Macaca fascicularis: one gene and its partner. The protein of the gene in region 1 interacts with the protein of each later gene in a pairwise test. Links are inferred from orthologs where the notes say so. Each region holds a gene or a part of one and is shown on either strand. Other genes may lie near its edges.

The links. The genes of interacting proteins can lie anywhere in the genome.
Region 2: the proteins of LNX2 (region 1) and LRRC8E interact in a two-hybrid assay, tested with the Homo sapiens proteins (3 studies listed by BioGRID and IntAct). The link is inferred for Macaca fascicularis from reciprocal best matches to the Homo sapiens genes LNX2 and LRRC8E.

What each region holds. Positions count from the first base shown.
Region 1 is NC_088391.1:7,597,221-7,601,719, forward strand, and holds the start of LNX2 (ligand of Numb protein X 2), read right to left. Parts: upstream 3,380-4,499; 5' UTR 3,194-3,379; intron 1-3,193.
Region 2 is NC_088393.1:8,599,864-8,604,349, reverse strand, and holds the start of LRRC8E (volume-regulated anion channel subunit LRRC8E), read right to left. Parts: upstream 3,135-4,486; 5' UTR 3,039-3,134; intron 1-3,038. UniProt on the Homo sapiens protein: Non-essential component of the volume-regulated anion channel (VRAC, also named VSOAC channel), an anion channel required to maintain a constant cell volume in response to extracellular or intracellular osmotic changes.

The DNA.
Region 1 (4,499 bases):
AAGCTAAAAGGGATGTGTTTTGTAAAACTCTCAGGCCCTCCAACAGGCTCAATTTAGGTAGGCCTGCCCCAGTCTTCAAATTCTACATGCACAATACATATATATAACTTTTTCAACCAACACTGCTTCCTAAACAGAGGAGAACCTATGAAATGAGACCTGTGATTCTTTTTTAAAAACCTAGAAGCATTTGGATAGAGGAAGGTGGGCCTGTGAACTATGGCCCTGTAAGCAGGAGGGGAAGTTAAATAGTTCTTCATAATACAATTTAAAGATATTTGAATTTTGGGGTGGCAGTCAGAAAGGAAAGAAAGAAGAGGGGGAGAAGGCCGAAGAGCCAACCAGATTACAAGAGCCTGGAGTCCTTCTTTCTTTGATGGTGGCCAAAATGTATTTTAAGGACAGAAATGCCTAATATTCAATGTCAACACTTCTGACATTGCTCCACTGTGAACCCCTTCACCCTCCCCTTCCTCTAAATCGCCTATAAAGCTTACCACACCCATAAAGGCTTTCTGTGAACTCTTTTTTTTTCTTTTCTATTCTTTTCTAGCTCCTGTGAGACACAACTATCCAACAACTGCATCATGGATCTCTCAACCATCCATTTAGCACCTCCTTAGATTGGTCCAAAACTGAACTTATCTCCCCTTCCACACCTCTACCATCAATTGTTTTTAACTGCTTCTTCTCATATCCTCCAACATTCCACTAGCTCATTAACGTCATCATCTATGCACTTGGAATGTGCTAGGTACCCTGCCAAAGGCATTACATGTGTAATTTCTCAAACCCTATTGAACAGGTATGACAATCATTTCCCAAATATTAGGAAATCAAAGTTCTGTCAGGATAGTAATTCTAAGGGTAAGTAATAGAATTAGAATTTGACCCGTTTTAATTCCACAGCCAGCTTACCCAGTACATGTCAATCAATGCCTGAAATCAAACAACCCAGGATTCATCCTTCCCCTCCCTTAAGCCTATCTAGTCACTTACCTGGTCCAGCCTCCTAGTCATACGCGTTAAATGCCATGTCGTTTCTCCTTCCACTGCCAGCACACTAGCATTTACTAAGTCCTTACTATGTGGCAATCACTATTCTAAGTAATATACATGTTTTTTCAAGTTCTATCCCCCAAACTCTGAGATGAAAAACCTAAGGAACAAAGAGGTTTCAGTGTATGACAGAGCTTGATTCCACCCCAGGTAATCTGAATAGAGAATCCCTGAGCACTTAACCCCTCCATTATAACAGCCTCCAACTTAGTCTCAATACCGCCCATCTGGAAGCCCACCATCCTCCAGATGCTGCAGATATCTTTCTGGAACGCGAATGTTATCATGACATTCTCCTGCTTAAAATTAGCAGCTCAGTATCACTGACTGGATAAAGTCCAAATTTCTTAATCTGGTATACAAAATCCTTCATTTTTCTGTTCAAGTCAATTCAGTAAATATTTTAGTGACCAATGTAAGCAAGAAAAGGTGCCAAGTGCTCTGAAATGAATACCATACATGTCCCTGACTACTACTTCCACCTTGGACACTGGGTCCTTCGGCCAGACAAGCCCATATGCAAAGCTCATAATACAACAGCCCAAAGATACATGCATTTATTTTTAAGTGGCCTGCGTGCTCCGTGCCTACAATGTACGATATCCCAAATCAATCTGAAGGCTAGGTGCCTACGTAACACCTATTCTTACAGGTCTCCAGGCAGAAATGCTCCCTAAGTTCAAATTACTTCACGGTAACTAGCGGGATAAAAGCATGGATCAATTTCCAAATGAGAAAACTTCTGGGCAAGAACTAACCCCTGCCATCAATGGCTGGCATGCAGTAGGTACTTTATCAGTGGCTAAATGAATAAATAATGAAAAAATGTCAAAGCTGATGAGAAGACGAGAGAAACAAGATATATGGAGAATGTAACACACAAGTGGGCCGAATTAAAAGTAATGTTATTCTACTTTGGTTCTCATTTGGCCTACTTTTACCCCATGGGAAAACTCACATGTGGGACTTGGACAAGCTTAAAAAGCCAAAACTTTGTTATTCATGGCTCAACAAAGCTTTGACAAGCCAAAAAGGATACCAGATTCCCGCTTCCTTCTTTACCTGCCAAAGTCCATTTTCTAAAGAGGTGTGGGGGTGGGAATCAAATCTAGCAAAGTAAATAAAATTGATCTACTGAGATCCAACTTCATCAGTGCTGCATCGAAGTACATGCAAAAGAAATATCAAAATCTGTCCTGGGAAGAAGGCCAATTTACAAGTAAGTACTATTGCCGCAAGAATGTGAAATTCTTAAAGGCAGTTCCAATAAGCTGGAGCTCACAAGTGTTCCTCCTCCTGCACCGCCACCGCTCTTCACTCAACTTTGTTTCTGATTTCTGTGATTTTAAAAAGGATAATAAATACAGCAAAGTCCATGCATAAGTGTACTTTAGCTCCTGGCACAAACGAACGTCTGGATTCATAAACTCAACGTAAACTGAAATACTAGAAGAAACACTACATGAGTCAAAAGTCCTTGTTTAAAACGTGGCATAAAGCTTTGAAAAGCGAGTGATGTATTTCCTGAACGATGCTTTGTGTGCAACTGGTTCCAAATCAAGATTCGCATTTTTAAATTACCCACTGGAATATGTCAAATCTATCTCCCACCCTCTCCAGCCTAAAGAGAAAGGTGAGAATTCACAGGCAACAGGCTAGGGCGGAGGGAACGATCTCTCCCTATCCCTTTGCAGAGGAACAAAATCCGACAAAGGCAGCTAGTGCCACTCGCATTGCCGACACCACACACACACACACAGGAAATTTAAACACTCACCCCACCTCTCCCTTCCCTTAAGAAGCAAACGACGCCAAGATCTGCACCGCGGTGGCCGGAACCAGCAAATGCTAACAGCCGGAGGCCGCCCGCCTCCAGGGCTCCTACAGGCGGCGGGCACCGGGCGCCGACTCTCCCTCCCCGACCAGCCCCACACCGGAGTCCACGCCAGCCCCGCAGCCCGGGCGAGCAAAGACAGCCGCGGACGACCAAAGCTCCGGGGCGAGCAGCGGCGCCGCTCCGGCCGCCTCCCGGGGCGCGGCGCTCCTCCACACCCAGCCGACGCCCGCACCTGAGGCGGCTGCCCGCAGCCGGGGAGAGGGCGCGCAGCGAGGCGGGCAGGGCAAAGTTACTCACTGGGAAAGCGCGGCTGCCCGGGCCGCGCACGGCCACCAGCTCCCGCTCTCCGCGGCCCGCTGAGGGAGCGGAGAGCCTGCCCGGCTCCGCTCCGCCGAGAATTGCCGCCGCCGCCACCGCGGATTTCCTGGCAAGAAGCAAACTCCGGCCAAGACTTCACTTCTCAACCGCCCCTGCTGCCTTCCCGGGGGCCAGCGCTAAGGCCGAGCGGCCCAACCCGCAGCCGGGCCAATCGGAGGTAGCACAGGGCGGGAGGTGGGCGGACCAGAGGGCGGCTCCACCTATCCGAGAGCTCGGGAGGCGGGCCAGAATTGGCCCGTCACTCCTGGGTTAGAGTGAGACCACTCCGCCCTCGCCGCCCGCCTCCCCCACCCGCCCCGGGCTGTCCCCGCCGCCCGCCTGATTCCCCTGCGGAAGCCCCGGGGGCTAGGTGCCTGTGCGCACCCCGGGCCGCTGCCAGGAGTGGCACTGCTCGGGAAGGAGTGAACATCCAGAGGAATCGCGGGGCGGGGTGGGGGGAGGCTAGGAGAACAGGTGGCGCAGGGAAGCAGAAACGTAGTTGCGCAGGACAGCTGGACAGCTGGAGTGGGGCAGGGTCGGGGCCGGCGGCTAGGGGAGAAGGGCCTATTCGAGAGGAAGCGCACCTGAGGGAGCGCGGCCGGGGCCGGGACGTGGGAGCTGGGCGGAGAGCGAGTCTGGGTGGCGAAGGTTGCCGAGGCGGGGGCTGGGCACCTGGGAACAAAGGTGAGGGCGGGTTCCGCAGGTGAAGAGGTTTGAAGAGCCACAGCGGGTAAAGGGAAAGGAAGTCCACAGCCGGAGAGGACGCGCTCTGGGGGATAGAAGGAATCCTAGGACGGAAAGGATGAGGTGGGAAACAGTTTTTTCGCAAACTCTCACTCCCCCAAAAGAGAAAGACATTTCTTTCTTGCCCTTTATTTGACCCAGTTGAGAATGCAACTGCAAGGTCCCCGGTGAGACAAATACCGCCTTCAACCCTCGTATTCTGTCGTGACTCATCTTGCACGTGACCTCCTCCCTCTTCAAGGTGTGTTGACCGACTAGAGCCTAAGCCTGTCGTCCCACAGAAGGCCCAGGAGGCCGGGGTCCCAGGAAGGGCCATCCTGGGTCAACACCGCCCCAGTGGGGGAGTCGGGCCTCTTTCGCCCTTGCCACTGGGAAGGGAAGTGATTTGGGGGCGGCAGGTAAAGCCCCGCTCCTTCACCATCACCTGGGGAAAGGTACCAAGGTTGAGCTGGCGCGCCCGCAGGCCTGTCTGGGCCTCGGGGTAAAGCGGCGCTGGCCCCAC
Region 2 (4,486 bases), on another chromosome or scaffold:
AGCCTGGGTGACAAATTGAGACTCCATCTCAAAAAAACAAAACAAAACAAAACAAAACTACTGACTCTGGGGACTGCAGAAGAAATCACACAAAACGCACACAAACACGAGCCGGGACCAACTTCCTGTCCTTGCCACCCTGGTGTGAGCTCCACCAATAGCCATCCCAGGTGCACAATCATAGACAAGAAGGCAGAAACTCTCAGGGGACCGGGGGGCAGCCACAGGGGCTATCATTATCTGTCTCCATGACTCAAACTTGATCCTCACAAACCTGCCATTAAATTTCCACAGACACAAGACAGGCCCCCACTTTGTCTGAGCAGGGGTGGGGGGAAGGGGTGGTGGGAACAGGGGCTCGAAGAATTGGGGCAGAGCCAGGGAAAACACAACGATGGGACGTATATACGCTCAGCTTCCTCCACCAGACACTGAACGCCTCCTTTTCTCCCAAGTCAGGCAGTGTCGATGTCGGGGACTTTGTTTTCCAGACTCAAGGGAGAGAAATAACTTGTTCAAGCTTCTACAGTTCAAGTGGCATTCGAAGCCTGACCCATCCAGCCTCCAGGTCCTGCCTGTAGGATTGCAACCGCTCTGTTCCCTCTTGGGAGACAGCCTCTTAATTAAAATGCAGCATCTTGCTGGGCATGGTGGCTCATGCCTGTAATCCCAATGCTTCGGGAGGCCAAGGCGGGCAGATCATTTGAGGTCAGGAGTTAGAGACCAGGCTAGCCAGCATGATAAAACCCCGTGTCTACTAAAAATAATAAATTAGCCGGGCGCGGCAGTGGGCGCCTATACTCCCAGCTAATGGGGAATCTCTTTTTTTTTTTTTTTCTGAAATGGAATCTCTCTCTGTTGCCCAGGCTGGAGTACAGTGGCACGATCTCTGCTCACTGCAAGCTCCGCCTCCCGGGTTCACGCCATTCTCCTGCCTCAGCCTCCAGAGTAGCTGGGACTACAGGTGCCCGCCACTTCACCCGGCTAATTTTTTGTATTTTTAGTAGAGGTGGGGTTTCATCGTGTTAGCCAGGATGGTCTCGATCTCCTGACCTCGTGATCCACCCACCTCTGCCTCCCAAAGAGCTAGGATTACAGGCTTGAGCCACCGCGCCCGGCTGAAGCGGGAGAATCTCTTGAACCCAGGAGGTGGAAGTTGCAGTGAGCCGTGATTGCGCCACTGCACTCCAGCCTGGGCAACAGAGCAAAACTATCTCAAAAATCAAACAACAACAACAAAACAGCATCTTTGCCAAAAGCACATAAGAGCGGTGTTGCATTGCAGCAGGCCAGGCTGGAAGACCTTCCAGCCTAAGACCATGTGGCTCCCACCAGCCCTGGTTCCTTCCACCCATGCCTCACCCCTCCTCCCTCCCAGGTCCTCCTCAAGCCACTTGCTTCCAAAATATGTGTTGGTGAGTTCCTGCTGGGGGAAGGGTGGAAGAGTGAGACCCTCCACACGCACAGCCCATGCTAAGAGGCAGGGAACAAGGAAGAAACATCCAGCAGTTTTCAGCCCTAAGAGGGGTTTTGTAGAACACAAGGCCCAACTTTTTTTTTTTTTTTTTAAGACATAGGGTCCTGACAGATGCAGTGGATCACACCTGTAATCCCAGCACTTTGAGAGACTGAGGCAGGTAGATCACGAGGTCAAGAGATCAAGACCATCCCGGCCAACATGATGAAACCCTATCTCTAAAAATACAAAGATTAGCTGGGCATGGTGCCGCGTGCTTGTAGTCCCAGCTACTCAGGAGGCTAAGGCAGGAGAATAGCTTGAACCTTGGAGGCGGAGGTTGCCATGAGCCAAGATCGCACCACTGCACTCCAGCCTGGTGACAGAGCAAGACTCTATCTCAAAAAAAAAAAAAAAAAAAAAAATAGAGAGAGATATGGTCTTGCTCTGTTACCCAGGCTGGAGTTCAATGGCGCGATCATAGCTCATTGCAGCCTCGAACTCCTGGGCTTAAGTGATCCTCCTGCCTCAGCCTCCCCAGTAGCTGGGACTACAGGTGCATGCTACCATGCCCAGCCAACTTTTGTAATTTTTGTAGAGATAGGGGTCTCGCTATGTTGCCCAAGCTGGTCTTGAACTCCTGAGTCCAAGCATCCTCCCACCTCAGCCTCCTAAAGTGCTGGGATTATAGGCGTGAGCCACTGTGCCTGGCCTCAACCTTTTTTTTTTTTGAGATGGAGTCTCGCTCTGTCGACCAGGCTGGAGTGCAGTGGCCCAATCTCAACGCACTGCAACCTCCACCTCTTGGGTCCGAGCAATACTAATGCCTCAGCCTCCCGAATAGCTGGGACTACAGGTATGCACCACCATGCCCAGCTCATTTTTGTATTTTTAGTAGAGATGGGGTTTCACGGTGTTAGCCAGGCTGGTCTTGAATACCTGACCTCAGGTGACCTGGCTGCCTCGGCCTCCCAAAGTGCTGGGATTATAGACGTAAGCCACGGTGTCCGGCCGAGCTTCAACCTTTTATACGAGGGAGAAACTGAGGGTCTAGGGTGGGGGAGGGTGGCATCTTTGTAGCCCGTCCTGGGTCAGGCTCCAGGCCCGTGGATTCCCAGGGGGGTAGTTTTGCAAGCTGCCTCTGCTAACGGACTTGAAAATCTGGGACATCTGTAAGTTCAAGAGCACCAGAGGTCAGGCTTGGTTGAACCCACCCCAAGTGGTAGGTTCTGGGACTCTGAGGGTCTCCCCGGGATGAGTTGTCAGTGTCTTCCCAGATGCCAAACGGAGGGGGAAGTGGTTGAGATCCCCAAAATCAAGTTTATCTTCAGCCTGTTTATCTTCACGCTGAGACTTGGCCGGGTCTGCCTGGCTCCCAGGACAGGGACCTCGTGGGCCAGGTTTCCCTTTGCCCCAGCCCGCACCCCCACCCCAACTCCTGGTGTGTCGGGACGGCCTGCCCTGGCCACAGGGCCAGCGCACCTGGAGCGACTCTGCCCCTTGTCCAGACCCGGGGACTCCCGGTCCGACTCCCACCCCGCCACCTCGTGGGGTACCCAGAGGCGAAGAGCCACCTACTCACCGTTCCGGGAGGGACGCTGGGCCCAACTCCTGGGTCTCTGGGAGCGGAGCTGCCGCGACTCCCGCAGAGTTCCCGGGCGGGCCGCGAGGGTGAGTCAGGGCAGGCGGGGACAGGAGACCCGGAGCCGCCCCGCCCCGCCCCCGGACGACTCGGCCCCGCCTCGTCGCAGGCGCGCCCAGGTCGACCCTACTCCTGGCGCCTCGCAATTAGCGGGGTTGCGAGGAAGAGAGTGGTCCTATGGTGCTTTGTACTGCTGGGCTTGGGGCTGGCGGGAGATGTAGGGGTCTTAGGACTTTGCAGCTTTGCAGTCTGGCTGGACCCCGGTAGCTGGGGAAACTGAGAGAGCTGGAGACCCTGAACTCCCAAAGGGCCACCCTTCTGGGAACCAGGTCTTAAAGACCCTGTCGAGAAAATGTGGAGGCTGAAGCCAGGCACAGTGGCTCACGCCTGTCATCCCAGCACTTTGGGAGGCCGAGGCAGGCGGATCACGAGGTCAGGAGATCGAGACCATCCTGGCTAACATGGTGAAATCCCGTCTCTACTAAAAATACAAAAAATTAGCCGGGCATGGTGGTGGGTGCCTGTAGTCACAGCTACTGGGGAGGCTGAGGCAGGAGAATGGCGTGAACCCGCGAGGCAGAGCTTGCAGTGAGCCGAGATCACACCACTGTACTCCAGCCTGGGCAACAGAGTGAGACTCCATCTCAAAAAAAGAAAAGAAAAGAAAAGAAAATGTGGAGGCTGGGCTCTGTGACTCACACCTGTAATCCCAACACGTTGGGAGGCCAAGGCAGGAGGATACCTTGGGCCCAGGAGTTTGAAACCAGCCTGAGTAATATAGTGGTACCACATCTCTACAAAAAGTTTTAAAACCTACAAAAACAAAAATTTAAAAATCAGCCAGGTGTGGTGAAGTGTGCCTGTAGTCCCAGCTACTCTGGAGGCTGAGGTGGGAGGATCACCTGAACCTGGGAAGTTGAGAGGCTGCAGCGAGCTATGATCATGCCACTGCACTCCAGCCTGGGCCACCAAGCAGGACCCTGTCTCCAAAAACCCAAAAACACAAAAAAGTGTGGAAGGGCTTCCTCTAACCCCTCAAGGCCCAGTCACCTGGCCTTAAAGCCCAGCCAAGGCACAGGTGACTGGAGTTTTCAGGTGCTGGGAGTGGAGTTGGGGGAGGAGAGGACAGGGGAGGGGACGCTCTGGCCATGAGGCAGGAACTGGGCTGAATCAACAGAAGTTGAGTAGAGTGGGGATGTCCACCTGTCTGTCCCTGCCCAACACTGTGGTCTGCCCTCCAGGTAGGGGGTGGGGGACAAGAAGCTCCGAAGTCCTGGGGGACTCAGCTTCTCTACCTCCCCACCCCCACCCTGGCCGCCCCACCTAGGGAGGTCTGAGCTGAGTCTTAGATGAGCAAACCTGTGGAATTGGACCTTGATCTGCTCTCA